Arabidopsis thaliana: one gene and its partners. The protein of the gene in region 1 interacts with the protein of each later gene in a pairwise test. Each region holds a gene or a part of one and is shown on either strand. Other genes may lie near its edges.

What was found.
Region 2: the proteins of PDV1 (region 1) and ARC5 interact in a two-hybrid assay, tested with the Arabidopsis thaliana proteins (one study listed by BioGRID).
Region 3: the proteins of PDV1 (region 1) and PDV2 interact in a two-hybrid assay, tested with the Arabidopsis thaliana proteins (one study listed by BioGRID).

The regions. Positions count from the first base shown.
Region 1 is NC_003076.8:21,602,490-21,611,981, forward strand, and holds PDV1 (plastid division1), read left to right. Parts: upstream 1-4,920; 5' UTR 4,921-5,096; coding exon 5,097-5,402; intron 5,403-6,078; coding exon 6,079-6,591; 3' UTR 6,592-6,939; downstream 6,940-9,492. Other genes in the region: AT5G53240 (hypothetical protein (DUF295)), read left to right, coding at 1-143; AGP22 (arabinogalactan protein 22), read left to right, coding at 1,226-1,343, 1,445-1,518; AT5G53260 (Seed maturation protein), read right to left, coding at 2,173-2,616, 3,099-3,185; AT5G53270 (Seed maturation protein), read right to left, coding at 3,782-4,261. UniProt on the Arabidopsis thaliana protein: Component of the plastid division machinery.
Region 2 is NC_003074.8:6,846,720-6,859,543, reverse strand, and holds ARC5 (P-loop containing nucleoside triphosphate hydrolases superfamily protein), read left to right. Parts: upstream 1-3,953; 5' UTR 3,954-4,154; coding exon 4,155-4,517; intron 4,518-4,678; coding exon 4,679-4,846; intron 4,847-4,941; coding exon 4,942-5,064; intron 5,065-5,140; coding exon 5,141-5,362; intron 5,363-5,438; coding exon 5,439-5,572; intron 5,573-5,663; coding exon 5,664-5,756; coding exon of another isoform or gene 5,757-5,771; intron 5,772-5,870; coding exon 5,871-5,934; intron 5,935-6,321; coding exon 6,322-6,370; coding exon of another isoform or gene 6,371-6,463; intron 6,464-6,653; coding exon 6,654-6,736; intron 6,737-6,969; coding exon 6,970-7,127; intron 7,128-7,271; coding exon 7,272-7,332; intron 7,333-7,643; coding exon 7,644-7,706; intron 7,707-7,793; coding exon 7,794-7,894; intron 7,895-7,998; coding exon 7,999-8,056; intron 8,057-8,162; coding exon 8,163-8,495; intron 8,496-8,591; coding exon 8,592-8,756; intron 8,757-8,857; coding exon 8,858-8,953; 3' UTR 8,954-9,186; downstream 9,187-12,824. Other genes in the region: AT3G19740 (P-loop containing nucleoside triphosphate hydrolases superfamily protein), read left to right, coding at 56-94, 420-527, 933-1,022, 1,116-1,191, 1,495-1,591, 1,679-1,748, 1,841-2,017, 2,119-2,241 and 6 more; BCAT4 (branched-chain aminotransferase4), read left to right, coding at 10,115-10,146, 10,255-10,432, 10,803-10,979, 11,080-11,211, 11,398-11,493, 11,571-11,687, 11,786-11,881, 12,008-12,120 and 1 more; IKU2 (Leucine-rich repeat protein kinase family protein), read right to left, coding at 12,753-12,824. UniProt on the Arabidopsis thaliana protein: Mechanochemical GTPase component of both plastid and peroxisome division machinery. Required for the last steps of plastid division specifically in mesophyll-cell, when the narrow isthmus breaks, facilitating the separation of the daughter plastids.
Region 3 is NC_003071.7:6,981,198-6,990,701, forward strand, and holds PDV2 (plastid division2), read right to left. Parts: upstream 4,424-9,504; 5' UTR 4,160-4,423; coding exon 3,878-4,159; exon of another isoform or gene 3,795-3,877; intron 3,720-3,794; exon of another isoform or gene 3,550-3,719; coding exon of another isoform or gene 3,517-3,549; coding exon 2,875-3,516; 3' UTR 2,649-2,874; downstream 1-2,648. Other genes in the region: AT2G16050 (Cysteine/Histidine-rich C1 domain family protein), read left to right, coding at 460-742; HB1 (hemoglobin 1), read right to left, coding at 1,585-1,722, 1,820-1,936, 2,016-2,130, 2,213-2,325; ARI2 (RING/U-box superfamily protein), read right to left, coding at 6,170-6,327, 6,410-6,558, 6,634-7,182, 7,274-7,754, 7,826-8,111, 8,201-8,233, 8,500-8,625. UniProt on the Arabidopsis thaliana protein: Component of the plastid division machinery consisting in a binary fission accomplished by the simultaneous constriction of the FtsZ ring on the stromal side of the inner envelope membrane, and the ARC5/DRP5B ring on the cytosolic side of the outer envelope membrane.

The DNA of each region.
Region 1 (9,492 bases):
CTCTCCAGGCCATGCGCTCTAACCACGTCTACATATTGGACGTCGACGAATTCGGACTTGTCGAGCTGGTTGATTCTTCCATAGCTAGCGTGAATTGCACATTGAAGGTCCCTTTTTATATTCCACCTCAAAATATAAACTAGTATTAAGTTTGGAATTGAGGTCTGTCTTTTCTCTTAAACCTTTCAAATATCAAATCTACTTTTATATATCTTGTAAGTGAAGGAAATTATATTTTAGCAAACATATCTAAGATATTCACATCACTTATAGCACTGTCTCTTTGCTGCTATATCATAGCTTAGTTCTTTCTCTTATAGCACTGTCTCTAGCTGCTAGACTCATTGGCTTTAGTTTTTGCTGAAATAAACTCGTATTTTTAGAATAAATGATTTGTCGAGACCACAACATCACGACCAAGCAATGTGACAATAGGGTCTTGTGGTGCATTTAGGTTCAGGGCATATGTTCTTATCCCCAGCTGCTATATACATTCTGAAATACATTGATATCAACACAATTGGCCACTAACAATAGGGTCTTCGCAGATAAACAAGAAACGCAAAAGAGTAGAGATAGTAAGAACAAGACCTTAGAACTAGAGAATAGTGAGCCTAAGGACATGTCAATTAGTCTTCACTTACATGGCAGATGATGACTTGAGCAGGCTGATTCGAGGTTCTTCTCTTTTTTTATTGCAAACTCTAAATTGTAGAAATTAAAAACACAAAACGGGGCCAGAGTCTTTGTTAATGGAGTGTTTTTAGTGAATGTTTAGTTCGGTTTAGCTCTAAACCAAGTTATTACAACTCTCATAATGAAATTAGGGACGGATACAATGATCATCCAGAAAAAGGAAAATTGCAAAAACAGGAAAGTAAATCAAAACCAGGCTGGAGATTCTCTTTTCTTTAATCCTTCTCAGACACAGCTTAGAAACAGAACATAATTAACCGTTTCTCTCGTTAAAACCTCTAATTTAATAATAAAATCTTTAATTAATATAATGACAACGCACCAACCAACTAGTGATTAGAGTTTGAGACAGAGAGGATTTGTGTATTATGGCCCCACATTCTCTGTGCCATGTTTTACTATTTAACCAACTCTTTAGCTTCCTCTGCTCTTCCATCAATCGGTCTTTTTTCCTTGATTTTTCTGGTGAGATTCTACAAAACCAAAAGATTCCTTCGCCGGAATAATCACCGGAGATAAAGATAAAGGAATGGCGTCCCTGAAATTTCCGTTGGAGATTCTCGCCGTCTTCGTCATCATCTCCGTGATTCTTTTGCCGATTGCTCAATCTCATTCTTCTTCGCCAGCTCCCGCACCCACCAGCGATGGTATTAATCTTAGGATAAATCTTTCATTAGAGCCAATTTTGTTTTTAAAACCCTATCTTGGAGGACAAGAAATTGATATTGATTTGTTTTTTTTTTGGCAGGAACATCGATAGATCAGGGGATAGCGTATGTTCTAATGATGGTGGCTTTGGCGTTGACTTATTTCATTCATTGACGTGATGGATCCGATCTATTTGTTCTTCCTCCATAATGGTTTGTCTTTCGTAGTGTTGTGTTACAATTCTTTTCTTTTTGGGTTTGTGACGTGAGATTTGTAGAAAATCATATTAGGTTTTGGTCCTCATGCTTTGTTCTGTTTTTGTTGGTTGCATTATTCGTGTACCTTTTTTTCTTTCTTGTGTAATGGAAAAGCGTAATTATAATAATTATTATTCAAGGAAAAAAAAAGCACCGTTATTTTTGCTATCATTTGGAGGGCATTCTCTGGCTGCTAGTTGCTGAGACCATGTCATGATTCATGCCGCATTTCACCTTGAGATGAATGTCTTCCTTTGTAAAATCAATTTGAGGCGATTCCAAAATCGCAACTGCCATCGACAATCTCCTCTTTGACGAGGCCTGTCTTTGAATCACTCTCTCAAACAAGGTTTAAAATAAGGGTTCAAGATTTAACCTCTTTTGGAGGAACCACCGAAATTTCACCACTAGATGTATGGGCTATAGTGATGATGAACTTAGAAGTTTAAAACATCTTGAATAAATAAACTTAAAGTATATTCACCCACTTGTTTAGAGTCTTTAGTGATTATTTATACAACAAAAACCAAGACCGTTATATGATATATGATTTTAAATAAATAGAAAGTGATCAAAGAGACGATGGATCGTGATTAAGTTTATAAGCTGCAGCGACGGATTCAGCAACACCTCCAGGAATAATATTATTGAAAGGAGAATGATTCAGCTCAGCCCGAATCACTGCTTCTGCGTCTTCACTTGTCACTTCTCTGTCCCTCGTTACTTTCACATCAATCTCCGCGATAACGTCGCCGAGATTTGTCTTCTCATTATCTTTTCCTATTTTTTGGTTACGAGCAACCGCCTTACTTGCTACAGCAGTTACACCACCTTCACTTTCTATATCGCCTCCGATAGCCCTTGTTTCCACCTCTTTTATGGCAGCCACGTCGGTGGTTTCAACTGGTTTGTGGCCGACATTCATGGATGCTGCTTTAAGAGCCTCCGTTAATGTCGTTGACCTCCCGATAAGTGCTTCCGCTGCGGTGGAAATCTCTTCTGTTGGGCCTACAAACTTTTTCAAAACGTTTCACATCATTCGGTATTATATTGTGGTCACAATTGTTCAAAACCAGTATGTGTTTTTACGTTTTTCGTTATTTCATATTTGCGTTTTACGTTGCGTTAACATGAGAAAGTGAGACTACAAAATAAAAATTCAACATAAATTTTTTTTGAAAGAAGTATATCAAACAAAATATTAATTTCCTTTGTGTTTTCAACACCATGCAGTGTACGGATTTAACTTTACACAGCCATAATAATTAACTACAAAGTTGGGCCAAGTTAATATTCACAATCTTTCTTCGTCCAAGCCAACTCTTGATGATACTCATTTTGAATGTAAAATAATCCACTTTAAGCGTGTACTAGAAGAAACATCCTTTCAAAATGATCAAATCTACCGCCACTAGTCTACCACTACCACACGCTTGTTAGTTGGTTATTATGCATTAAATATAAACGTAGTACAAAGAAAGAACCCAAAATCTATACCTGTCCACCGGGGCTAGACTGAGAGACGCTAAAGTGCTCCTCCACGGAGATGTTGGTGACACTAGCACTATCTTTTGATGAACCCATCGTTTTAGACTTCTTCTTTCTTTGCTTCCATGTTCTTTTTCTTTCCTTAGTTTAAATACGAAAACGGAATGTGGCGATAATAACGGTTCCGTACAGTTTCATTTGACACGTAGGCTTTTAACAGTGTAACGTGTCCATATTTAGCTGCTTGTGAGACAGTGACCCTTAAATGCATCGGCGAGACTATGTATTAAACATTTAGAGTAGCGTGGTGAGTTTAAGAAATATTGGAAGAAAGGACCTTTCATAACCCTTTTATGCAAATTTCCATATACTATTCTTTTTTTTTAAGGTATGTTGATCTCTTTTAACGACTTGCATGTTTTTGACGTTTGTCAAAACTCAAAAGTAATAAAATGGAGTTCCATGGTTGGATTTTGGGATTTAAATTTGTTCTTTAATGATTATTTATGCAACAAAATCTTATAGGCTTCCAATGCCTATATAAGGTGGATCAAAAACTGATCTCGGTAAAAAAGACAGTACAAAACTTCGGTTCGAAACTTCCTACTCTAAAAGAAAACAAAACAAAAAATACAAAAATCACGACCGTTATTATATACTTATTGTGATAAATATGTAAATTGCAATTGATATCAAAGAGATACATTGCATGGATTGCAATTAAGTTTATAAGCTGCAGTGACGGATTCAGCAACACCTCCAGGAATAATATTATTGAAAGGAGAATGATTCAGCTCAGCCCGAATCACTGCTTCTGCGTCTTCACTTGTCACTTCTCTATCTCTCGTTACTTTCACATCAATCTCCGCGATAACGTCGCCGAGATTTGTCTTCTCATTATCTTCTCCTATTTTTTGGTTACGAGCAACCGCTTTACTTGCTACAGCGGTTACACCACCATCGCTTTCTATATCACCTCCTATAGCCCTAGCTTCCACCTCTTTTATGGCAGCCAAGTCGGTGGTTTCTACCGGTTTACGGCCGACATTTATCGCCGCTGCTTTGAGTGCTTCTGTCAATGTCGTTGACCTCCCGACTAGCGCTTCAGCCGCCGTGGAAATTTGTTCTGTTGTGCCTGCATACTGTTTCAAAAGGCCGAACCCGAACATCATACGATATCAACATGGTCACGTAAAATATTTCAAGTTAAAAGTTTTTTTACATTTTATCACCGCGGTAGAAGTTATACAATTCCTACTATGAGCTAGCAATCGGTAAAACGGTAAATTAAAGGGAACACCAACAAAACGGTACAAAATCTTTACCAATCTATGTTTTACCGCACTTGCTTACTTCTTTTAACTGTTCTGTTATCGTAAACGATTTTTCTTTTAATCGTGGCTAATTTTTCATTTTAACCTATTACCTGACCACAAGTAGTAGATTGGGAGAGGCTAAAGTGCTCCTCTACAGAGATATTGTGAAACTAGCACCATCTTTTGATGAACCCATCGTTTTAGAGTTCTTTGATCTTCTTTCTCTGCTTTGCATTATCTAATACACTTTCTGTTTTGTGTAAATTGATAAATAAGTAAACGGAAGTGCCGACAAAAAAAAAGAAAAAAAAAAAAAAAAACGGAAGATGACAATAGTAACGGTTCCGTAACAATTTACATTTGACACGTCGGCTTTCAACAGTCCACGTGTACAATACTTGTCTACGTATGCCGTTATGCGACCGTGACTCTTCGATGCATAAGAGAGACCAATTACTTTTTGGGCCTCAGAAGCTTCGTAGAGCCCAAACATTCTACCAAGCTTTGAGACACGTGCATAGTCCGTGCCAGCTGTTTCTTGTTTTAGTATTTCCGGGTCGGGTTTCACCCGTATCCGGAAATCAAATTCATCGGAGCGCTTAATTTGAGTCCACAATTAAAGTGAGAATTTTCCTGAAGAAGAAGAACTTTTGCTTTTTTTCTGGGTTTGCTTTTTTGTTGTGTCAATGAAATGGGAGAAATGGAGATCGAAGAAATCGAAGCTGTTCTTGAGAAAATCTGGGATCTACATGACAAGCTTAGCGATGAGATTCACTTGATTTCGAAGTCTCACTTTCTCAAATCGGTTAAACCTTCAAATAGATCGGAGAAGAGAAAGAATCCTCACGGAAATTCCGGCGAAGATAAGCGACCTGGTTATGTTTTCATCAAAGGATTCGCCGTCGATGATAACGACTCCACGATTCAGGAGGCGAAGAGTCTTAACGCAATTCGAACCGCTCTTGAGAACCTTGAAGACCAGCTCGAGTTTTTCCATGTAAGTCTCGTGTTTCTCCGATTGATTTTGTGGTTTTCGCTTCCTTGATATGAAGCGAAATTGGGAGATTAGCTTGTTATCTCCTTTGTTTTGTGCTAATTTTTGAAGATTGTTAAGCAAATCCTTCTACTAGATGACTATTCAAGTCCGAAATAGGTTGTATCTGCTTCTGAAGAAAGTGACTCATGATTAAGCCGATTTGAGGCAATTTAGGGTAAAAATTGATTGAGGTGTGTTTAGTTAGGGTTTAGATTTACGAATTAGGAATTTAGGTTCTGAACTGGATAGTAATTATCAGATTCTTACGAAAATTCTGAGCAACAATTTTAGACAGAAAATCATCATACAATGTAGTTCTGAGAGCATTGTTTATTGCAAACTCTTTGATCATGGAATTAAAGCAGGGAGAGGAATCTAGATTCAGGTGTTGTATGTGCATGAAGAATGATATGGTCTTATTTAAGATCAGAAGAAGTAGAGATAGATAAGCAGAATCCATTTCGCAATACATTATAGACGCATGTGTTTTATCATTGCCATAGATAATAGACCAACGAAGAAGAATATACAAGCTATTTTGCATATACACTCATTGGTTCTGGTCAGTCGCATATGTCTCGTTTACTATCTGAACCTGAAAGACAAGATGTAAAACTTCTTTCTCTTTGCTCTGCAGACTATACATACACAGCAGCGAACAGAGAAAGATGTTGCGATTGCTCGGCTTGAACAGAGCAGGATATTACTAGCAATGAGATTAGCTGAACACCACGGCAAGAACTATGGAGTCCTAGAGGAAGCTCTTGCATTTGTTGGGAGCATTAAATCCAACTCGCATTACGTTTCACCTGATCACCTCTACGATTCCTCTCGAAACCCAGACGGAGCAAACTCTATTCCAGATGGAATAGAGTCAAACTTTGTAATCAACGCCTTTGCCTCGACTTTCGGGTTTGCCAAGAGAGCACTTGGATTCAACCATGTGAAAGGCGTACTTGGAAACGCTGCTATATTTGCCATAAGCGTGGTCGCTATGCTACATCTTCACCAAGTGGCTACTAGTGAACATCATCTGCAGAAGAAAGAAGACAGATTCTACAGAAGCCAACAAAGGAAAACATACGGAAGAGATAAGTCTTCAGCTGACAGAAGTTTGGATCACTTGGACGTAATGATGGCTCGTGGTTAAGACCAGAGATCGAACTTGTCTACACGTGAGAAAACTAAAGAAGAGAAGAGATAATTGTTGCTCTCATAGGTTTCGATATTATCAGCAAAAGGATAAGAATTTGGAGGCAAAGTGTTGGAATTTTCTGAGCTCGTCTGATGCAAATATTGTTCCTTTCTTCTAATTTTGATTTTCAAACACTGTGGTTAATGTTTTGTTTGTTTTGTTTGGTTTTGTTGATTTCAAATGTGGTTAGGCTTTCTTGTAAATCACAAGATCTCTCGGCTATTCTTTAGTAGCAACTGGCAAATTCAGATTGATGAATGTATTGGGCCACTATCAGCCCATTCGCACCCCAGAACTATCCAGCCTTAGTTTGCTCAATCTTAGGCCCTTTTACTTTTGATGACAAATCACTCTAAACCGTAATAATTTGGTCCGGAAACAATATACAAAATACAGTACGAATACTGAAGAGGTTTATCGTCTAGTTTTTGTTATTCAAATTGAAGAAAGATAACGTTTTCTCGAAATTTTATGAGTTATATGACTTGTATACGTAGTTTAATATCAACTTTTTTTTATTCTTTCTTTGTTTCTACAAAGCCTGAATATCTATAAAGTATAAGGGTGTCAAAGCGGGAGAGTTTGTCCGGTGTATGTGAATTGTGATGTGAACAAAGCAAAGACAAGTGGGAGGACAAGTTATCAAGATGATAAAGGGGAAACTACAATGAGTCCAAATTGGTAGAATGAAGGAAACATGAATGTGAATATTACAAAATACTTTTCCTTAAGATCTGTTTTGTCTCTCTTTTTCTTTTGCTTTTGTACACATAGCTTTTTCTCTACACACTCTTAACGTTATAAATGGCTTCTTCTTTTTCTTCTATCTTTGTGTGCTGTCTTCTTTATTTTTATTGTGTAAACATATGTTTTTCAATGTGATTAGACATATATAAATACTATAACTTACGGATTGTGTTAGCATTTTGTAGGACCCGGTTCGCATTTTGGGAAATGTCAGCCCGCCGACCCCGGTTTTCCTCCGTAAATAGGTCAACCCAATGTTTTTTCTCTGTCTACAATGGCTAAGACCGCAAACAAAATACTTTTTCACATTTCGATTATGATTGATTGATAATGCTACATAATATTACAAAATACATGATAAAATAAATCTATAGGTCATAACTTCGAAATCAATACAAATGAGGAAACTCAACTTACGATTTTAAAAGAACTTTTGTCACTTCACAAATATGGTTTCATATGAGAATTTGCTAGTAGCTTTTCTTTCTCTCCTTGTTTTACGATAGGAAACTGAAAACTATTTTTTTCTAGTGAAACTATTTTTAGTCAAGCAAGAAATAGTAATGATAACCAAAGTCATACTTGTAAACCCACAACGTAATCATATATTGTGTTTTATCTTTTTTAATCCTTCTGTTTTAACTGCTTCAAGAAGATAAGCAAATGATCGCTCGTGGTAGTTTAATAAATGGGGATAATGGAAAATATTATAATTAGATATTCATTATCGAATGTTGATTATAGATTAAAAAGAAAAGGTTGGACCAAATAATAATTATGAAATAGCGAAGGTGCTCCATAATGATGCGACAAAAAGCTGATGTTAACGGGTAGAAAGTGTTTTGCCACCTTCTAAATAATTATTAACAGATGGGTCACATAATTTATTATTTCATATCTTTCTTCTTTTATAAGATTTTTAGTATGAATAGCAACAGTACGTGAATCTTTACGCAGACCACCAACTAGTATTTGATTCATCTTAGCGGTTAAATGTCATCAGCCTATAGCTTCATTCTCTAATTATCCAATAAATTATGAATGCTAATATTTTCATTAAATTAATTCATTTTCATTTCGCAGTTTTTACAATCCTACTTACCACAACGTTTCACTTATACAACGTTTTAATTTATTCTCAAGTCCGCGATTTTCATTTTCGGTCGAGATTTGATCCACAACTTGATTTTTTCTTCCAAAATTTCAAGTAGAGATAAGATCATAGTGGTTTCAAATTTGTACTATTACGTAAACATTTAAAGTAACAATCTCTATGAATCATCAGATGCCTTTTAAGCATTGGACAGCTATAATTTGATCCCATACTCCGACCAACAAATTTAAACCATTAAAGGTTTTTTTTGGTCTTCATTTGACGAAAAAACAAAAAGCTTCACGCCACGTCTCGCTATAATAACGAACCTAAATACTGACGTGGATGGTTAAATAGGACACGTGGTTCTGCACAGATGGGCTTTTTAAATTACTAAGAATCATGTGATTGTCCACTATAAAATGCAGGGCCCATAACCACATCACGTGACCTTGTACTCTCGTTGTCTCTCAACATTCTTCTTTCTTCTCTTCTTTTTTTCTTTCTTACAAGAATTAAGAAAAAACTTAGTTTAATTAAATATCTAAATTTTTACGTAAACATTCTAAATAATTTAAAATTCGATAATAATGTTAGTTCAAAGGTTAAGTTTTAAATTCCAAATTTTAATTTCAAACTCTAAAAATTATCTCTATAATGATATCGTGATTTTTGAAGAGTTTATTAGTTAAATGAAGCTCTCATCATTCTCAATTTCACTGTTCAGGATTTTACAGACTGAAATATAAACCATATGAAAATGAGATTATTCGAAAACGCGAACATATTACTTTGACAATATTCTCCTGTGGGTTTGGTTTCAACATTTTGGCTAGTATATGGTTTAGCTTTATTTTTATATCTACCTACTTTTTTCTTGTATTTTTAAGATCACAAATATTTTTTACTGAAGGCGTATGAGTAAAATTTTTATCAGATTCTAATGGCTTGTGTAGTTCTTAGCCGAATCTATGAAATATTAATTTTAGTGTGGATTCGGTCCCATGCATTGACAA
Region 2 (12,824 bases), on another chromosome or scaffold:
ATTGGCTCTTCTTTTTGTTTGCTTTCATTTTTTGACCTTTTTTGTTTGTGAACAGACGATGATACTCCCAAACTTTGGCCGTCTTGCGAAACTGGTATGATAGCTAAACTTAAAAGTAACGTTAATTGATAGTCTTAGTACTTATCTATTGTGGTAATTTTTTAAAACTTTTGGTCTCGTATGCACACCAACTCAATTTATTCAACATCTTGAACATGCATATAGTCCTGACTTTGTATCAGTCGCATTTTGATACTTTTGGTAAAACTAGCTTCATATGTGCAAGACTCTGAATGTGGATTTGCATACTTTGCTTCACTTTCTTGACATTATAGTACATCCATTTATTGGTCTGCATTTGATAAATTCCAGCCACTACACTCCAAAATATTTATCATAGATGCTGTTGTGTCTTACAGCCCCTTCCGTTGAAGCGTCTCACTGAGGGACTCACGGGAAGGAAAACATCAGAGGATAATGAGATATACAAGCTCTTCACTAATGTTATGAACCTAGTCCCTCCTAAGGTATGCCTATTGACTTTAATAACTTCCGTTCATGGTTTTGGATAACCGATGAGAATTGCATTGATGTGTTTTTTCATATTTATGTGACATTGCATATAGACTTAGACTGGTTTCGAATCTAATAATGTCTATTGAGAAAATATTTCTGCTAATTCCTCTTACGTTACCGACATTAGGAGAAAGTAGGAAAGCTATTTGAAAACTTCTGACTTTGAAATATGAGAAAATATATGCAAACTTCCTTCAGAGTCTCCTTTTGGAAAATGTTAAATTCATCTGCAATCAATATCTGGGATGCAAATGCCTACATAGCTCATGCTGCTATCGTCTTCTTGAAAATTATTTGTTCAGCACTTCTTGCTTATCAATGTTGTACCTGTATTCTTCTTTTCTAATTTTGTGCAGGAAGAAGAGAACCTCATAGTATTCAACAAACAACTTGGAGAAGATAGAAGAATTGTGATGTCACGGAGCAATTTAAATGAGCTACTTAAGGTACATAGACATAGACTGAATTCCGTTAGAGAAATGGAGTCAATTTGCGATGTTATCATAACCATTGTAACACTTTGAGAACTTTTAACCCAGGCGCTTGAGGAAAACGAGTTATTGTGCACTGACTTGTACCAAGTGAACACCGATGGCGTGATATTGACAAAGCAAAGTGTGTAACTCCTATGAAATACCTGGTTTATTATGTATGTTATTACTCGTTATGTCTTAGCATTGTTAAGTATGTTAAAGTTGCTGATTGAGGATATCAAGCATGCCTTAACTGTATGTTATGTATCTCATTTGTTGCTAGTATTACATGAAATAGGATGCAGTTCCATGTGATTGACCTTGATATCGGTCATCTCCTATATGATTAATCATTTAATTTTAGTTCTTGCTTTCTGTGATGAAACCCCAATTACTTATATTGTGACCAAGAGAGCTCAGAAACTTGTTTATTTTGTTTCTGCAGGAGCGGAGAAAGTTATCGGTTGGGCCAGAAACCACTATTTATCTTCTTGTCCTAGCCCATCGATTAAAGAGGGCCGCCTGATTCTCCCCCGTGAAAGGTAATGGCATGGTTGTTGATTGATCTTTGGGGTCTATGATTTATCTTTGATTTTCTTATATCTTACTATTGTCTTCCTCTTTTGAAGCATTGAGATTTCAGTTAAAAGGTTAAAGGCACAAGAAGATATTTCTCGAAAGCCCACACAAAACTTGAAGGTTTAGTTTCTTCCCCCCTCTGGTAGTCTGGCAATTGGCTGCTGAAAACTCTGAGTAATAATTATGTTAAAAAGAGATTTTTGTTTTTGCAGAATATTGCGAAGGATGAGTTTGAAACCAATTTTGTCTCAGCCGTGGTTGCTCCTGGAGAAATTGGGGTAAAGTTTGACGACATTGGTGCTCTTGAACATGTGAAAAAGACACTAAATGAGTTAGTTATTCTTCCCATGAGAAGGCCAGAGCTTTTCACCCGTGGAAATCTCTTGCGGGTATTACATTCTGTTATATACATGTCATTATGTTCTTGACTATGGACTTGGAATTTTCTCGTCTGGGTTTTCTTGAATGCGTGTGTCTTTGTTTTTTCCAGCCATGTAAAGGCATATTGCTTTTTGGTCCTCCGGGTACGGGTAAAACGCTGCTTGCCAAGGCGCTTGCAACAGAAGCTGGGGCAAACTTCATTAGCATAACTGGCTCAACGCTTACCTCAAAGGTACATGGAACCTTAAAACTATGTTGTTTGCACTGTCACGTTGATATTCCACTTTGTAAACATCTTCATATAAATAAGGAGAATATCTAATGACATAAGAAAAACTTTTCCACCCCGGTCATCGACTTATTATTGTCAATGCCGATTGTAACTTAGAGTAAATCTCTTTCCAACTTTACCTCTGATTGGTTCTGATTTAAGTCAATTTCGTCCATTGTTTGGCACAGTGGTTTGGAGATGCAGAGAAGCTCACGAAGGCTTTGTTCTCTTTTGCAAGCAAACTAGCCCCCGTCATTATATTTGTTGATGAGGTGAGAAATTGTTTAGCTTTATATCACTTTTCAATTTCGGTTATTGCTTTTTATGAGGAATACTTTTGTGATGCGTAAAATGTGTTACTCAAGGACTAACTGTAATTTATTTTGTTGTCGTATAGGTTGACAGTTTGTTGGGTGCTCGTGGTGGTGCTTTTGAGCACGAGGCAACACGAAGAATGAGAAATGAGTTTATGGCAGCTTGGGATGGACTCAGATCAAAAGATAGCCAAAGGATTCTCATTCTCGGTGCCACCAACCGACCTTTTGATCTTGATGACGCTGTCATTCGTAGGCTACCAAGACGGTAATTTAAGCTTTCAAGTAATTTCTCCTTTGGAATATTTGTATCTTTTCGATAATTGTATTGAGGCTTGTGTTTATAGGATATATGTGGATTTACCAGATGCGGAAAACCGGTTGAAGATATTGAAGATATTTCTGACACCAGAAAATCTTGAAACTGGTTTCGAGTTTGATAAACTTGCAAAGGAAACCGAAGGATATTCAGGAAGCGATCTAAAGGTTTGGTCATTCGGGGTTTCATTTACAAGTTCGAGTATGATTCAACACAGTAGTTCTGATTCCTTTTCTTTTCTTACATTGCAGAATCTATGCATAGCAGCTGCATACAGACCTGTTCAAGAATTGTTACAAGAAGAAAACAAGGTAAGGACATGCATAAACCCACACAGTTGATTTCTGTTGTTACGAAAAATAATTTTTGTACTCACTCCATGCTTTTGAAACGTCGAATTATCAGGACTCGGTAACAAATGCGTCCCCTGATCTACGACCACTGAGTTTGGACGACTTCATTCAATCCAAAGCTAAGGTATTGATCAATCTCTTAAAAAACATCATCATCATCTCTATTCATGTTTTTTCCCCTGGTGTTTGCATTATCGAAATTGCGTCATTGTAATGTAATTTGCAGGTAAGTCCGTCAGTGGCATACGACGCGACGACAATGAACGAATTGAGAAAATGGAACGAGCAATACGGTGAAGGAGGGACCCGAACTAAGTCTCCTTTCGGCTTCTAAGCCACAGTTTTGTTACATTCATCAATGTCTCTCTTTAACAATAGAACTCGTTGATTTGTTCCATGTCGTAACAATAAAAGTCACTATTTCAATTTTAATCATAGTTACACAAGAGAGACCTTTAAGAAATGAAAAAATAGTAAATTAACAAGTCGTCATTTGCTCAAAATATTTCTGGTTTCTCATCCAATAATCACAATTCTGTACTACATAGTTATCACAAATCCTTTGAGATAATATTTCTGCATATACTATTGGTCAAGACAAAGCAAATCCTTTGTATTTGCCGACCAAAAAAAAAAAATCCTTAAACTCTCTCCTTACGCGCTCTTTTATTTAAATTTAGCGGAGAACTATTACAACGTTGACTCAACGCGCCATGGATGCGCGTGAGATTAAAACACAAAAAATATTTCTTTTGACAAAAATTGAAATTAGCCGTATCTGCTAATTCCATGGCGGAAAAAGGAACGGCGACGAAAACTAAAGAGTAGAAGAAATAAGAGACACTCTCTTACTCTTACTCTTCCTCTTGCTCATTTTCGTAAGAGACGATGGCGGAAGTATCAGCAAAATCGGTGACGGTTGAGGAAATGGCGGAAGAGGACGACGCTGCGATTGAGGAGCGGTGGAGTCTTTACGAAGCTTACAACGAGTTACACGCTTTGGCGCAGGAATTGGAGACGCCGTTCGAAGCACCGGCGGTTCTTGTGGTGGGACAGCAGACCGACGGTAAAAGTGCGCTTGTGGAAGCTCTTATGGGGTTTCAATTTAACCATGTCGGCGGCGGAACCAAGACTCGTCGGCCGATTACTCTCCATATGAAGTACGATCCTCAGTGTCAATTCCCGCTTTGTCATCTCGGATCTGATGATGATCCTTCCGTTTCTCTTCCCAAATCTCTCTCACAAATTCAGGTGTTTTGTTATTATTATTACTTGTGCTTCTTCAATTGCTTGTTTCTGCGTATAAATTCTGGGAAGATTTTGACGAATGTTGAGAAACACAAGTACTTAGGTTTATTGTAGAGAAGCGAAATGCTCATGTTAACGAAATTTGTTATATGATTTGGAGTTAGGCATATATTGAGGCTGAGAACATGAGGCTGGAGCAAGAGCCATGTAGCCCATTCTCTGCAAAGGAGATTATTGTGAAAGTCCAGTATAAGTATTGTCCAAACCTTACCATCATTGATACACCTGGACTTATTGCTCCTGCACCAGGACTGAAAAACCGAGCTCTTCAGGTTGTTTTTTCTTATGGCTTCCAGCCAATTCCGTGGCTGATTTCATGTTTTGGTTTTGCTTTATTTGAGAGTGGGTTACTTGTTCTTTTTCTTAGGTTCAAGCACGGGCTGTGGAAGCTCTAGTCCGAGCAAAGATGCAACACAAAGAGTTCATCATTTTATGCCTCGAAGATAGCAGTGACTGGAGCATTGCAACCACTCGAAGGATAGTGATGCAAGTACGTTGCTTGACGTAACTCCATTGCGTCTAACCTTGTCTTTATTTTTGTTAAAGTTTGTTTCTCGTTCATGTAGGTTGATCCTGAGCTTTCTAGGACAATTGTTGTTTCTACAAAGCTTGACACTAAAATCCCTCAATTCTCATGTTCATCTGACGTGGAAGTCTTTCTCTCACCTCCTGCAAGCGCACTTGACAGCTCCTTATTGGGCGATTCTCCTTTTTTCACGTCTGTGCCTTCTGGAAGAGTTGGCTATGGACAGGATTCAGTGTATAAGTCTAATGACGAGTTCAAACAGGTCTCTGCTCTGCTGTCTGATTCCTTAAACAAGTTAAACAGGTCTTTTTCTAAACTATGTGTGGTTTTTATTACAGGCTGTGTCACTTAGAGAAATGGAAGACATTGCATCTTTAGAGAAGAAGTTGGGCCGTTTACTGACAAAACAGGAAAAGAGTAGGATTGGCATCAGTAAACTGAGGTTGTTTCTGGAAGAACTACTCTGGAAAAGGTATAACTGTTGTTTTAACTCTGATTTTTCCAGCCTCTGTTTCTATTGTAGTTTACTTTTCGCTGTAGTCTTGATGCCCTTCTCTTTCCAGGTACAAAGAGAGTGTTCCATTGATCATTCCACTGTTAGGAAAGGAGTACCGCAGTACAGTCAGAAAGCTGGATACCGTGAGCAAGGAACTTAGGTCGCAATTTGTTTTGTCTGAAAATGTCTACTTGATTTTAGGCAGTTTAATTGTTAGCTACTGATTTATAGAAAATATAACTCATTGGAGGTTGAATAATTCCTTTCAATGCAGCTCTTTGGATGAAGCAAAACTCAAAGAGAGAGGCAGGACTTTCCATGATCTCTTCTTAACCAAGGTAACTGTAGAGAGCATTTCGTTTTTTTAGATTTCTATTTACACCTTCCCATACCTTTTCATTTTTGCCTGGACTCGTGGATTAATAGTTTTTGTATAATTACAACAAGTTCATTTGTGTAAACTTCTCTTTTTTTTTGGTTTATTAACTACTGACACATAAAAACAAATTTGTTTATTGATTACTGACACATATAAAATTATGCTACAGTAAATGATATCTAGGACTTGCTACAAATTCAGAATGGCTGTAAACTTTTTGTGTTGGATGCCCTTAAGACTTTAAAATTGCTGCGTCATATTTTCTGATTGACGTACGAAGTACCTTTGTTAGTATTGATCAGTGCTGTGTTTTCTCACCTGTTTTGTTTATATTTTTCTTGATCAGTTATCGCTGTTATTGAAGGGAACAGTTGTGGCCCCTCCAGATAAATTTGGTAATGTTACTGCTCTGTTCTCTGCTAGTCAACTTCTTTGGCATAAACTTTTCTTGTTTCTGGGTGTTGTTAAATTGGACTTTTGCAAAATCAGTTTAGTTAAATGCATATTGTTCAATTCGACTGGGTCACCAGACTGCGATGATTACACATGGAATGATGTATGCTAATCAATCAATCATTGGTCATGATACTTTGGTTACTGGCAGAAGCACATTTTATAACAGCATTCTCTTTATGTTGGGTTCTTTGATTGTTAATAATTTCTCATGGTGTTTTTCAGGTGAGACACTGCAAGATGAAAGGACACAAGGAGGAGCATTTGTTGGTACTGATGGTCTCCAGTTTTCACATAAGCTAATACCGGTAAGTCTTTCCCTGAAGCAGAATATTGTTGGACTTTATAGAGCAAGCTGGGCATGGTCTTCAAATCCAGTTGTCTTGTTCTTGTACATGGATTATAATATGATGGAAGATAAATTTGACCGCATGAAACATATGTGCCAAAGAATAATGTATTGGAAACAAATAAAAGAGATACTTCGTTGGACCTTCAAGAATTATGAGAGACCATAACCAGATTATCTTTCATTTTACAGAATGCAGGGATGCGTCTCTATGGGGGTGCACAATATCACCGTGCCATGGCTGAGTTTCGTTTTCTAGTTGGTGCTATCAAATGTCCCCCAATAACGAGGGAGGAAATTGTAAATGCATGTGGAGTTGAGGATATTCATGATGGAACAAACTATTCCAGGTATCATAGGATTGACTGACATGCAACACACTTCTCAATTTATTGTCTTTGCATCCCAGACCCCTTTCAGTATCTAATCTGAGCTGCAACGTTTGTCATGTTTTCTATGGCCTCTTATTCTCTTTCTCTTATTTGCTGTTGTAGAACAGCTTGTGTTATAGCAGTTGCGAAGGCTCGTGAGACGTTTGAACCTTTCCTTCATCAGGTGACATAGATATAGCTACTTTTTTCTTTTTCTTTCGTGGAGGATGGAAAGCAATTTTACTAATTAGTTAAGGTGTACTGTACGTAAAAAAAAAAATGAAATATAACGTTATATATTGAAATCATACTACCATTCAGTTTTGAGATTTGCTGGAACTTATTTGTGCATAAGAGTTATCGAGTAAACATGTTCTGCTTACAGAAACTATGTTTGGGAATACTTTCATCTGAAATTTTGTTATTCACATGTTTCTCTTTCCATACAGAAAGTTTTTTCCAGTTCTCATTTTCGTTTGTTTTGCGTTGATATAGTTAGGGGCGAGGCTTCTACACATTCTCAAGAGATTGCTTCCAATTTCTGTATATCTTCTTCAGGTAGGTACTGTTTTCTTTGGTTTGACGGTATCATACTCATGATCCCTTTCCAGCAAATTTTTTGATGTATGTTCTAAATTTGAATAGAAAGAAGGTGAATATTTAAGTGGGCATGAGGTGTTTCTCAAGCGGGTTGCTTCAGCATTCAACAGTTTTGTGGAGTCCACAGAAAAATCATGTCGTGACAAGTAATTCTATTTCCAATTCCTGTTCTTACCATGTCGGTGCCTCCTACCTGTGTTCTAGTGAGCTTTAGTGATTGATCACCCTTTGGATTTTATATTGTTTGCAGATGTATGGAGGATTTAGCAAGTACAACTCGCTATGTTACATGGTCTCTTCACAACAAGGTCATTGCTACAGCCCTATAGCTCTGTTTCAATCCAATTGAGTTGTGTACATACCATCAAGTATCCGTTTCTGATTGAGTAGTTTTCGTTTCTCAATGTTATGTAGAACCGAGCTGGTCTACGTCAATTCTTGGACTCATTTGGTGGAACAGAGCATAATACGACATCAGGTAATGCCATAGGATTTAGTCTTCCCCAAGATGCATTAGGTGGCACAACAGACACCAAGTCAAGATCAGATGTAAAGCTAAGCCATCTCGCCTCAAACATCGATTCAGGTTCCAGTATTCAGACAACAGAAATGCGGTTGGCTGATCTTCTAGATAGCACACTTTGGAACCGCAAGCTTGCTCCTTCCTCTGAGAGAATTGTGTACGCATTGGTCCAACAGATATTCCAGGGCATACGAGAGTACTTTCTCGCCTCTGCTGAGTTAAAGGTTTGCTCCTACTTCAGTTTTTACTCAGATTCTTCTTGCTTTTAAAATGACTTTTCTTTTAAAAAGTTTGTATCTGTGTTTTCTTTTGTTCTGCAGTTCAACTGTTTTCTTCTAATGCCCATCGTTGATAAGTTACCTGCTCTTCTCCGGGAAGAGTTGGAAAACGCATTTGAAGACGACCTCGATAGTATCTTCGACATCACGAATCTCCGGCAATCACTTGATCAAAAGAAACGGAGCACAGAGATCGAGCTCAGAAGGGTAAACCAAACTGACTTCTATGATCAATGTCTCTTTTTTCTATTTGCCATTGGAAGTATGCAGGAGAACTAACATTATGTTATGTGTCATGTTTTGGACAGATAAAGAGGATAAAAGAGAAATTCAGAGTGATGAATGAGAAGCTAAACTCTCATGAATTTGCTCAAAATCTAAAGGCTCCTTCGGTGCAGCATTGAGTGACTCAAGTTCAATATTGCTTAATTATATTAGGTTAAGAAACAATCGAAGAGTGAGGGAACATCTTATGTGTACTTTGTATGTCCAAAAACATACTAAAGAACGTTGTCGTTTCAAGTGATTAAGGTTTCGCTTTTTGGTCCAATGTTTGCAAATTTCAGTTTTGTAGAAACGACAGTCGTATCATTTATTTCTAAATAAATTATAATCAGTAAATCTAAAAGGAAAAAAAAATGTCGAATAAAAAATACCATCTAGAAAATTATTTTAAAAACTATATGGATGTGAAAAAGAAAAAAAAAATGTAACATGTGGATAGAGGATAGCTATTCTTGGAACTTAGAAATATGCTATTTGAATCGAAAGTATTTATTTAGTTAAATGGTTCTTTGATTATATTTCTATGTTCTTTTATTAGATTATTTACAGCTTGAAGTTTTTTTTATGTTTTTAATTTTTATCCATCACTAATACACATATGACCTACCCTCCTACCCATTAACCTCCACCTAACTACGAGCGCATTCACATTTTAAACACTCTCTTTCTTTCAACCATTTCCTCAAAAATATAATAAAGAAGTAAAAAATAAGCTTAACGTTTTCTCCACGTGACAAGAACCAAATGTTTCTCCACGTGATGATTATCTCGTGATCTAACTAGAGTTTCCGATTAATCTTAATAGTAAATTAACCGACCAATTTTTAGTCATATAACTTGAATATTAAGAAGGAAACTACAACTTATTTTTGAATAAACGTAAAACTGATCACTGAGTAAAAAAAAAATCATTTTCTTTTTACTTCTACCAAGTTATTTTTGATTAATAAATACGTACGTACACTATAATCGTAATATAAAAAAAATAAAAATAAATAAATAGATGATATATACCTACTAAAGACTAAAGAGTTAAGATACGTTGAAGTACTACAAGCTAATTTCTTTTTTAAGAAATAGAACAAAGAGATATTATTTATTTTCGTTTAAGTTTATTATTATAATAAAAAACAATTTGTTGTAAAAATAGAAAAAAAAAAAAAAAAAAAATTGTTGTAAACGTATATATAAAGAGAAGTATTCCAAAGCTTTATAGACAACTCAAGTTTCTTGCAATTACCTACTTACAACAAAGCAACTCGACTCGAACAAACACATCCATGGCTCCTTCTGCGCAACCTCTTCCTGTGAGGTAAAATATTTCTGTATCGTCGAACAAATTATATTGTTTAAATCTGATAGTATGAAATATGATTTGGCGATCTTTTTTTTGTTTTTTTTTATTTATCAAAATTTACAGTGTTTCGGATGAAAAATATGCGAATGTCAAGTGGGAAGAGTTGGCATTCAAGTTTGTTCGTACGGATTATATGTATGTTGCGAAGTGCAATCATGGAGAGAGTTTTCAAGAGGGGAAGATTCTTCCTTTTGCTGATTTGCAACTTAACCCTTGCGCTGCTGTTCTTCAGTATGGCCAGGTTTGTTATATATGACTTAAAAGAATGAATATAAATCTAGATCGTTATTAGATGAAACAGAAAAAACTATTAACACATGAATATATAGCTTTCTCACTGATAATAAAATGATTGAGCTAATTATCATAAATATAATTACATAGTATACTATTGAGTTAGCAACTATATTGTATGCATATTTGAGCTATAAACTATTGAAAAAATGAAATAGTTGTACATATATGTATTAATGTATATCAACGAACCGAATAGTATGAAAGTATTGATATTCCTATCAAATCATTGTATGTGATCTAGTTTCGCAACAATTCTTAAGTAATGGTTTGATACTAATTTACTGGAATATTTATGGTGGTTTGGGAATGATTAGGGTTTATATGAAGGACTGAAAGCTTACAGGACAGAAGATGGTCGGATTCTGCTATTCCGACCAGACCAAAACGGTCTCCGCCTTCAAGCCGGAGCTGACAGACTCTATATGCCTTATCCTTCGGTCGATCAATTCGTCTCCGCCATCAAACAAGTTGCTCTTGCCAACAAGAAATGGGTATATTATATATATTGATTGTTGTATGAATTCGTCAAGATAATAAAACCTTATAAAATGAAAGATATAATCAATGGGGTTTTCTTATATATGTACGCAGATTCCTCCTCCGGGGAAAGGAACATTGTATATTAGGCCTATCTTGTTTGGGAGTGGTCCGATTCTTGGTTCATTTCCCATTCCTGAGACCACCTTCACAGCTTTTGCCTGTCCTGTTGGACGTTATCATAAGGTGACTAGTGTTCTTGTCGTTTTTCTTTTATTGTTCACATATGAAAATATAAGGGATTCCAAGTACGTAATATAACATGCATGCATCAATTACTTGTTGAGAGTTGGTTTTAAATTAAAGGGTTATGTTGTTTAACGAAAACCATTATGTTAAATTTGATTATTTTCGGATTTTTGTTTGGAATAGGATAACTCTGGTTTGAATCTGAAAATCGAAGATCAGTTTCGTCGAGCTTTTCCTAGTGGAACTGGTGGTGTGAAGAGCATCACAAACTATTGTCCTGTAAGTTTTAAAAATATACATCAAATTTTCATAATTACATGACTAAATGATTGTAATGGAAAAATTTCTCGTTGAAGGTTTGGATACCATTGGCAGAGGCGAAAAAACAAGGTTTCTCTGATATTTTGTTTTTGGATGCTGCAACTGGCAAAAACATTGAAGAACTTTTCGCAGCTAATGTTTTTATGCTCAAGGTAAAAAATAAATATACAAATTTATTGAAAATGCATGTTGAGGTTTATACATGTGTTATAGAATATTAAGATGGTTGTGATGATATTTTTGTATATAGGGCAATGTTGTATCGACACCAACAATTGCAGGAACTATTTTGCCCGGAGTCACTCGAAACTGCGTAATGGAATTGTGTCGTGATTTCGGCTACCAGGTTGGAATATTTCAATATCATACATATATCAAGTTGATCTTGTAATTTGCGAAAAAAATCTCCTTACTAATAATATTCATCATGCATGTATAATAATTTCCTTTTGGTCTTTCACGTTGTATAAAGGTCGAGGAACGTACGATTCCTCTAGTGGACTTTCTCGATGCGGACGAAGCTTTCTGTACTGGCACTGCTTCCATTGTGACTAGTATTGCATCCGTAACCTTTAAAGACAAAAAGTAATACTTTCTTCCCTTTGTTAATCCAAAATGTCTATTTTTAGATTTTTTCATAAGTTAGGGTGACTGAAATGATTGAATGTATAAACTCAATACAGGACCGGATTCAAAACAGGGGAAGAAACATTGGCTGCGAAGCTATACGAGACGTTAAGTGATATCCAGACGGGTCGGGTCGAGGATACCAAGGGATGGACGGTGGAGATTGACCGCCAGGGCTGAAAGTTGAAACTGTAACTTGATGCTAAATATGTGTGTGTGTGTATACAAAACTTATGTAAGAAACATCTGAAGATGTCTCTGATCTTTGTGATTGTGATGATCATGCATGTCCTATCGTTGCGATGTATTTTATAAATGTTCGTCTGTAAGTTATTTAATAACTATGGCTTTTTGCTTTATCTTTTTAATTATTTTTAAAGAGTATTATCATAGAAAATCTTATGGCTTTTCAATTTACACTAACCCTTTACAACTACTACTTTCTTTTTTGTCCATGTAGATGAAGATGATACAAAACTCTTGAATGGTCTTAGAATCTTTCTCTGAAGAATTTTTTTAAGTATAAAACCAATCAAGAATTTATTATTCTTGAGCCTTAGCTCGATTAATAACCAAGTGCAATCTATGAGTTATACAACTTTAGTAATCTCATCATTAGCACTCTCACCGTAACTTGCTTCTCCACTGTTCTTGTTATAGGA
Region 3 (9,504 bases), on another chromosome or scaffold:
ATATATTCCAAATCAACATCTCTAAAGAATATTTTAAAGCAATATGATAAAATTTTGGATTACGTTTATTTATTGATTCTTGAACATTAATTTCGGCTTTAAACCGAATATATGTTAGAGAAAAAGGAAAAATTAAAGCAATGGCATTCAAACACAAACTTTCTCTTTTCTCAAAGAAATGCTTGTGCTTGGTAATTGGTAGACATGTTACATAGCGTGCACTCTAAGTTAGAACTTTACAAGTTTATACACTGACTTAGCACATTATATATGTGTCATCGCCGAAGTTTTTAAATAGATAACGTTAGTTCTTAGTTATCAAAATTATATACCAAAATAGAAATTTTAGAGTCAAATTCCTTGATTAATGCATTGCAACATAATTTTGAGCCAGTTAATAATAAAAATCAGGTTTTAAATCAGCTAAATATGTTTGTTTTTTTTGTCACAAAAATACAGGTCATCTTGCAAAAAGTACAATCTCCATGTCGCGTGTGTGAGAGAGATGTTGGTGGAGAATTGGCGAGAGCTGTACACAGGACAACATGGTAAAAGCATTGAACACAAGAGCCTGGTCTTAAAGAACACACTTGAGCATCACCACCGTAGCAGCCGCAAAGGTAAAGTTCAAAAATGCTGCGAGATCGCCGGTATAGCCGTGCAGTTTGTCATTTCCGCCGTACTCGGGGATCCAACGACCCTAATCGCGGGAGTTGTAGGCTCCCTTATTTCTCGAGGATGATTCCCCTTCAAAGTATTTCAGTTTGAGTGTTTAACCATCGTGTTATAAACTCTTAATTAGGAGCATGTGAAAGTTGATACATTAGAGTTTGATATCCTTTTAAGTTTCTTGTCCATAAACCAAAAACGTGTAATGTTGAAAAATAATAATAATTAATTACGTAAGACAGCTTAGTAAAGTCTATTTTAAGTGATTTAATTTGAACATTTAAACATTTTCGTACGAGTTACCAATTATATATTTCTAACTGAATATTTCACTCTGTTAATTTTTCTGTCAATTGACTTAACGACGTGCTTAAAACGACAAAATCAACAAAAGTTATATATTAATTCTAAAATCAATAACAAGTTTGGTATTTTAGTGGTATTTTGGAAGTTGGGGATTTAAACGTACCAAATTTAAAAGTTTATGATTTTTTTGACATTTTTTCAATTATATATTGAAGTGTTCTAAGATAAAATCATGAGCCTGGTAAAAAGTTTTTGTATCTTACCTTTTTTAGGTAGCTGTTTTTCTCTATTTTGCTCATCATTTCTTAAGATTTACAGGTTGTAAAAGGCCAAGACTTAGTGAGAATAAAACTGTTGGAAGTAATTATATTTATTTTAAAGTCTATCAAAAATATCATAATCTTAATACAATTTGTAAGAAACATTTTTTTTTTGGGCAAAACAATTAGTAAGAAACTTGTATTCAAAATGATTAGGATTTTGGAATGCACACTATATATATATTATTGTCACTAAATCAAACCAAACCAAATAGAACAACAGTCATGAGAACAATTCAAAATGAAATATTTATTACAAGTTTACAACTATATAATAGTATATGATTTTTTAGTTGGAAAGATTCATTTCAGCTTTAATGGCAGCAACAAGGTGATCATAAGCCTGACCCCAAGCCACCTTCATCTCCGGTGACCACATCTCCGGCACTGCCTCCTTTATCGTCTCCAACAATGCATACTTGGCCACCTGCAGTTATAAATCATTTTTACATCAACCAAAAAAAATCAAGTTAACATATTTGTATGATAAAGAACATTTTGAGATATGACAAATAACTACTAACCTCAAAGTGTTCGTCAACGACACCGTATTTAGAATGGCTGGCTCCAAGTCTCTTCAAAGTAGTCTCCCTCACCGTAACTTTCCCTGTTTTCCTCAGTTGTACTGCTGATTCACAACACTGATAATAAACCCCAAAACTCAACAATCTTTGATTCGAATATATAAGCAAAATCATGTTATTTGATATTGATTATTACCATGACAAAAACAGACATTGCGTGAGGCTTGAGCTTTGGATTTTGCTCAGCAGGAATTGGTGAGTCTCTCAAGAAAGAGAACATCTTCTTCGTTGTTGGTGCAATCTCAAAGATCCTACAGTTCAAAATAGTAGTTCATATCTCAGACTATATACATAAAAAGAAAATAGAGAGAGATCAATGGGATCATTACTTACTTGATGAAGAGTTTGAGACCTAATTCAGCTGAGTTTTTCTTCATGACACTCCAAGACTTCACTACAAGAGCCTCTTGCTCTTCTGTGAACACAATCTTTCCTTCACTCTCCATAATATTTCACAACCTCTAAATGATTTAAAGTATACAACTCTCTGTTTTGTAGATCTTACTCCAATTATGAAAAGTATCCTATATATAGGTTTTGATAAAAGACCCTTTTGTGTTACCGAAGAGACAGTTCTTGATAAGCAAGTTTAAGATAAAGTTGCTTGGTTAAAAAGTGAAACCATGTGCTCTGTACTGGTAATGGAACATAGTTTGTAATGGTAGGCTTGACCAATTATTAGTCAAAACACTAAAGAAAAGTCTTTTAGATCTCTTTATCTCATTAATTTACTTATTTATGTATTGGCCAACCACACCAAGTGGTATAAGTTGGGATACACTGAATCTATTGATCAAATTGGCAGAACAGAGATTATACTACTCAAATGAATCTCTCCCTCATCCAATTTATTTGCACAACTATGAACAAAACTTGTGAGAGTTATGTAGCACCATGTGGCTTTCATATCTAAGAGGTAAGAAAAGGTTGAAACTTTACACACTGAATGTCAGGCAATGAACATTACAGAGGAGGGTGTTTAATTTCTTTCAAACTCAACCGTATCCGTAAGTTACATCGCGTTTCGCTACAACAGAGTCAAATGGTATTTCGACTCTTTCCTTAACAAGGCACCGTGCTTCTCCATCTTCAATCACAAGAACTTTCCCTGGTGGACATTGGTTAGGTGTTCTCTTCCCTCTGGTAGCTCGGTGCGGGAGAAGTCCAAAAAGGTTCAAGGAAGCGCCTCTTTTCCTCATCTCTGGACCATATCCTGATGCAGACAATAGAGAGATAACACCGATGATTGGAAGCACGATCTTTGCGACAGAGCCTAAGAAGCGAATAACCCCATGACTCGAACCTCCAGATCCTCCGTTGGGACTTTTCGCCTCTGCCTCGTTCCTCACATGTCCTGAGCCGAACCCATTCGCATCCGATTTCTTCTTCGAAGGTAAGTGAGATAGGTAACCATTATTATTATCTAAACCAAGGGAGAGAGGAGGATGGACAGGATAAGGAGGAAGTAAAAGATCATTCTCATAATCAACTCTTTCACCAGCAAAAGTCGTAGTCTCACGTAACACTTCAAAATCTTTCCCTTTGTACTCCTTAAGCTTCTCAAGCAACATTTTCCTACTGTAATCAATCTCAGAGAGAGCCAGTTGCTTCTCATATTGTTGTCTTTGCCTTAGATTCTGTTCACCACAAACCAAAAACCATCCCCACATTAACCACCACCAAGACTTGAAGCAATTCAGACATTATAGACCAGACTTGAAGCAAAATTCAGACTCAGTTTCAGTTAAAACCAGAACCTAACACTTTCAATGTTCAATACTACACTAAAAGCCAGAAACTTGATGAGAAGCAGAGGAATTTTTTAGGGTTTGGTTCAAACCTGTAAAGAAGCAATTCAGACATTATAGACCAGACTTGAAGCAAATTCAGACTCAATTTCAGTTAAAACCAGAACCTAACACTTTCAATGTCCAATACTACACTAAAAGCCAGAAACTTGATGAGAAGCAGAGGAAATTTTTAGGGTTTGGTTCAAACCTGTAAAGAAGCAAGCTGAGACTCAAGAGCTTCAAGAGCATCACGAATACGCAAAAGCCGTTCAGCTTCTGCTTCATCTACATCCTCAGAGCTGATTGAGTCAAAATCCTTGTCTTGATTCCCAATAATCTCGCTTTTTCTTCCTTCTCCGGGAGAAAGATCCTCGTTTCCATCGCCGTTGTCGCTGACGGTGGTACTGGAGTTATCGATACAATCGCTGATCTTGAGTCTGAGCTCGGTGGCTCTGGCTAAAATTAACCCGATGCCTTCTTCGTCTTCCATCGCAGAGATTGAGGAAAAGAATTTGGGGGTGGAGAAATTAGGGTTAGGGTTTTTGTAAGGTAGTGGTGGTGGGGAAGAGAAGAGAGACAAGTAATTTGGAGTGTTTGGAGTGGATTTGTTTTGTGGTTGGCTTAACTCAGATTTTCAGATTTGTTTCTGCTGCTTTCCCGGTTTTAATCAACGGCCACAAAAAATCAACAAATTTTTATTGAATTTATTTAAATTTGGGGAAAAAATGAAAAAGAACCATAAGAAATTTGGAAGAGGCCAATTTTGGACTCTAACAAAGATGACAAATCTGACATATCATTCTACATAAATAAAATAAAAGAATCTGTGTACTAAAATATAGACTTCTATGTCAGAAAAAACGTAAATTTTAAGTTATTATTTTTTACCGTCTAGATTTATTATTTATTATAAATTATAAAAATTATCGTAGAATCGTTTTTGTAACAATTCTTTTTCTTTGAACTATGGTTAGCATTTTTTTGTTTGTCAACGCCGAAGTCAACTGATCGGTTTACCGGAATTGTATGTTCATAATATTAACCAGATGACGTCATATAGTTCATAAATATGGTCATGCAATACATGTACTTCGTGTAGCTCAAGATACAATATTATACTTGGTATATATGACAGCGTAATTCTCTATATTTCGTGTAGTTAGCCATCTTTTTTCCTTTTATAAAAGATAACAAAGTAATTGAAAATGAATATGTTTTTTCCTTTTTTGGCTCAACAACAATAATTATCATTAAACAACAGAGTTTTACAACTTGTCTAATTCCACAAACGATTTTACCCAATTTGGCACTATAGAATACAACTTAGGATCATAATTCTCAAGAGAAAGAGATTCCTTTGCTATCCTATCTGCCACTCCATTGCCTCCACGATGCATGAACACAAACTTTGTTTCCTCAAAATGCTGAAGCAAGAACTTGATGTCTTGTATAATAGGGTCCAGAGTAGGCATATCATCGTTATCAACAAGAATAGACACCAATTGTTGGGAATCAGATTCAAAGATTACCTTTCGGTAGTTGAGTCGAGAGAGTGACAACACCGCCCAACGCAACGCTTCAGCCTCAGTAACCAAGGCGGATTGAGCCTTTGGTATAGCCCTTGCACCCATCCAAAGCACGTTCTTGTCGGAGTTTCTAAGCACCCAGCAAATGCCACACTTGTTGCATTCTGCATTCCAAACTCCATCTGAGTTACACTTAACCCACCCATGTGGGAGTTGCTTCCACTTGATCACTTGCTTCTCAGAGCTCTCTATGAGAAATGTATATGTTTAAAATGAATATGTCTGAAAATGAATATTTTTAAAATGTAGTTTGAGATGGTTTAAAAATATTAGTTAGAAATATTTTAATTTAAAATAAGACATTAAAAGAAGTATTCAAGTTAAATTACATTAAAATTATTAAATAACACTAAAAATACATTATATTGATGAGAGACACAAAAGTGAACCAAAAATAATAAAATTATATTAGTGAGAGATTCAATAGGTATCTCACCAAACAAAATTTTTTAGGGGATGCATTCAATAAAAAAATTACAACCAGAAAAAGTGAAAAACTAAGGTTAGCCAATTTTTCAGATTGCGGGACACTCTCTCACCGTCACAACAAAAACCTCATACCATCTCAAATATATAACGCATATGTACAAGAGATTCATATCCATGAATTAGGTACGATCCACCTACGTTTAGTTAAAAATTTACACCTCGAGGCACTGAGAGAAGCCTGAGTTCATAGGCAGCTTCAAATATGATCCACTATAAGTCTATAACCATTATCCTATGTAAACTCCGAAACTGATTGAAATTTTGTAAGTAACGATGCTTGACCCCTTCTTTCAGAACTGAAGAGGGTTAGGTAAGGTCACTGACAAATTAAGCAGAGGGGATTGGGTTTAGAGCTATAAATATCCGGGTAACACACTTTATTTGGACAAAAAGGGTGTTATTGGGAGGTGAAGAAGGATAAGTGTTCATTTCCGCTCAATGGCTTCCGCTGGCAAGTTTAAATCTAGTAAGGTGGTTTGGCTGTTTCTGTAACTTTCGTCTATTCTAGCACGCTTCCCGGAAGAGCAACTTGTGTCTTCCGACTTCCCTGACTCCAAAGCTTGATCGAGCCTGGACGTCCATCCTGTATTAAAGAGTTTGCTTTGTAAGATTACCGGTAAGTCTCCAACCTAATGATGTGAAGTTTCAAGATTTACTGCTTGTACCACAATCCGAAGACTGACCAACAGCTTCCTTGGAATTCTGGGAACTATAAAAATCAGATGCTCGTTCTATGCCGTTTGATCTGTATGGAGTAATGTTGTGGATGCCAAGTTGCAGAGAACCCAACAAGTCATTCTCAATGCATTCATACCTGCAAAAAGCTTGACATGTCAGTTTCAATATAGGTTGTTAGCACTCTCTGATGTCTTTTAGATTATTAACTAACATATTTTCGCAGAGTGTATCGACCGCAACTGACAAATTGATGACTTGAATCCTTATCTGCATGACCTTATCATCAGCAAATTGATCAAAAGGTTCCTCCAAGAACTTAGAAAGTTTCTCAACATTAGCCTCAAGCTGCTGCTGCTGATCCTCAAACAGATTTTGTTTTATTTCTCTTTCCTCAGAGCTCATCTCATCTTTAAACAGCTCATCTCCAAACATGTAAAATGCGAAAGGGTATGAATATGAAAGAACTCGTCTTGATCTAAATAACCGATGGAGTCCATTGGTAGCCCAGCTGAAGTCTTTAAGTTGTAACTCCCTCTTTTCTGAAATAGACACCTTTTTACTAATATTATTACTAAGCTTAGCCTCTAGCTTGGAGGAGTCGATATGTGCTTTGTATCGGTTATGATAATGCATATACCGCTTGAGATCCCTTTTCGCTCTCTCCATTTGTTTCTCTTTATCTTCTTGGAACCGACCACAACTATGACCCGAGATTCTAGCCCAAGTGTGGTCCCTTCCAGTAGCTTCACCACACAACCAACTGTATAAAGTAATAACCAAACAAAAAGTTCATCACCACCTGATATAATGTTCACTAGAAAGCAGAGGAGAAACAAGGCTAAAATTCATACCAAAAAGATTGTCGACAAAGACAAGTCACGAGATTGCATCCACCATTCTTTTCAACAGGCTTGTGACATTTGGGACACGGCTTTGTGTGAACAGTTATCCAATTAACAGTCTCGGACTCATCAAAGCACTTCTTTCTCCATAGTTCCCACATCACACAAGAGCAAGGGGAGTGAGCTTGAGATGAACAACTGAAACAGAACTGCAAACCACAAGAGCATTCAACCTCACAGAGCTCGTCATCCTCAACACGTATGGCATTCCCACAATGAGGAGTACTCGGACACCACTTCACCATTTTGTTATCTTCGATATACGACTCAAGAAGAAAACGATCAAACTTCTCAGCTAAATCTGGTTGGCTTTTACTAACTAGAGCCCTGACAACATCTTCATCACAAATAGCATTACACTTATGAGCCATGCATATAATCCTTTTGCTCTGACCTTCATTTATCTTTACAGTAAAATGCCCAGTCCAACCTAAAACAACAAAACCATATTAACTAAACAACTTCATTTCAGGATATCATTAAGAAAAGGATGAGACTCACAGTTATTGCAAAAGCTATGGCCACAGTCCATCCTTGTCAGCTGATAACCCGGTACATCCTCTACGCAGATATCACAACTCATCATCGAAGAAGAACCAGAAACGGAAGAATCACAACTTTGGTTTTCAAGAAGTGTAACACCAGCACCAGAAAACAAGCTATCTTTCCCTTTCTCAACAAGAACAGCAAACAACTTCTCCACATCCCATCGGTAATGTATAAGAAGAGTCCGAGCATGGTGCTCCTTAACCGATAACAATTCCATCACTCTCCGCAAATCCTCCCTCTACATTGATTCAAAAACAGTTTAGCCTTCAAAATTGAAACTCCACAGTATATATGGATCAAAAGAAGAGTCATTGCTCTTTCACTAACCTGTGCAGCCAAAAGTGATTCCTTCGTAATAACCTACAAAATGCAGATTCACATTCATGCAAACATCAAACGCTTTTATTCTAATTGAACCAATGCCACTACTCTTCTAATCCTCTTCACAGCATTACAGAGATGAAATTTCACAGTATAACACAAAACCCTAATTTTAACTAGAGAACAACAGAGATCACAGAACTGATTTTTCAAATCAACATTTCAACTAAGTGATTCAATTTCACGAATTCGTTACAAAATTAACAAAATCCGAAAAAGAATCGAGAGAAATTTAGCTCAAAAACCTTGACAGTATTTGATCGGGAAGAAACAGGTATCGAAACGGATTCATCATTATCAATCCCGTTGAGAGATTCCTGATCGGAGGAGTAATAGTAATCTTCTTCCTCGCCGCTTAAATTATCATCCATGGATCAATTTTTAAACTGATCAGAATGAAATTGTCGACAAATGATATGATTGACGGAAGAGAGTATTATAGAACGACGGAGGTGATAAAGTACGAGAGTAATAACGAAGGAAGAGAACGATGACGGAGATTTTGAGACATGAAGGATGTGGGATGATATTTGCCGGCGAGATCAAAAGAGGAGTGTTAAAAGGACTGAATCAACCGGAGGAGAAGAGAAAGAGGACATCGTTATTTACGGACCAAACGGCACCGTTTTATATGAAATCACTTTTTTTATTTGAGTATCTAAACAGTTTTTTTTTTTTTTTTTTTTTTTTTGTCATCAGCATCTTATTGATTTATAAATCAGCAGTGTAGTCACAATGTACAGCATATGTTATTACATTAGGAACCCAGAAATGATTCAAGAATAAAGATTGGTTTTGAAGAGTACCTTTAGCAAAAATATCAGCTGGAGTATTGTGATGTCTTCTTATCCAATTGAAATGGATTGATTCAAACTTCCTTGACCACCAATGAATGTCCCGTATCCAGTTGTGAACGCCAAAATGTACCTTGGATCCGTTAATTAGGTCAAACAGCATGTTGTTATCTTCTTCAAAGCAAACCCGTTTGTAACCATGACTCCAACAGTGCTGCATTGAAATGATTAGCGCTTGAATTTCACTCTCCAGAGCATTGTCCACCTTTCTTCCTATAGCCTGCCCCGCCAGTAGATAACTTCCATTACTATCCCGAACAACCCAACCTGCTTTACTTTCTACATCACCATTAACGAATGAGCCATCAAAGTTGCATTTGATCCATCCTCTTCAGGTCGTCTCCATCTGTCATGGTTATCCTCCTCTCTCACCCCTCTGCTACGTGTATTTATTTG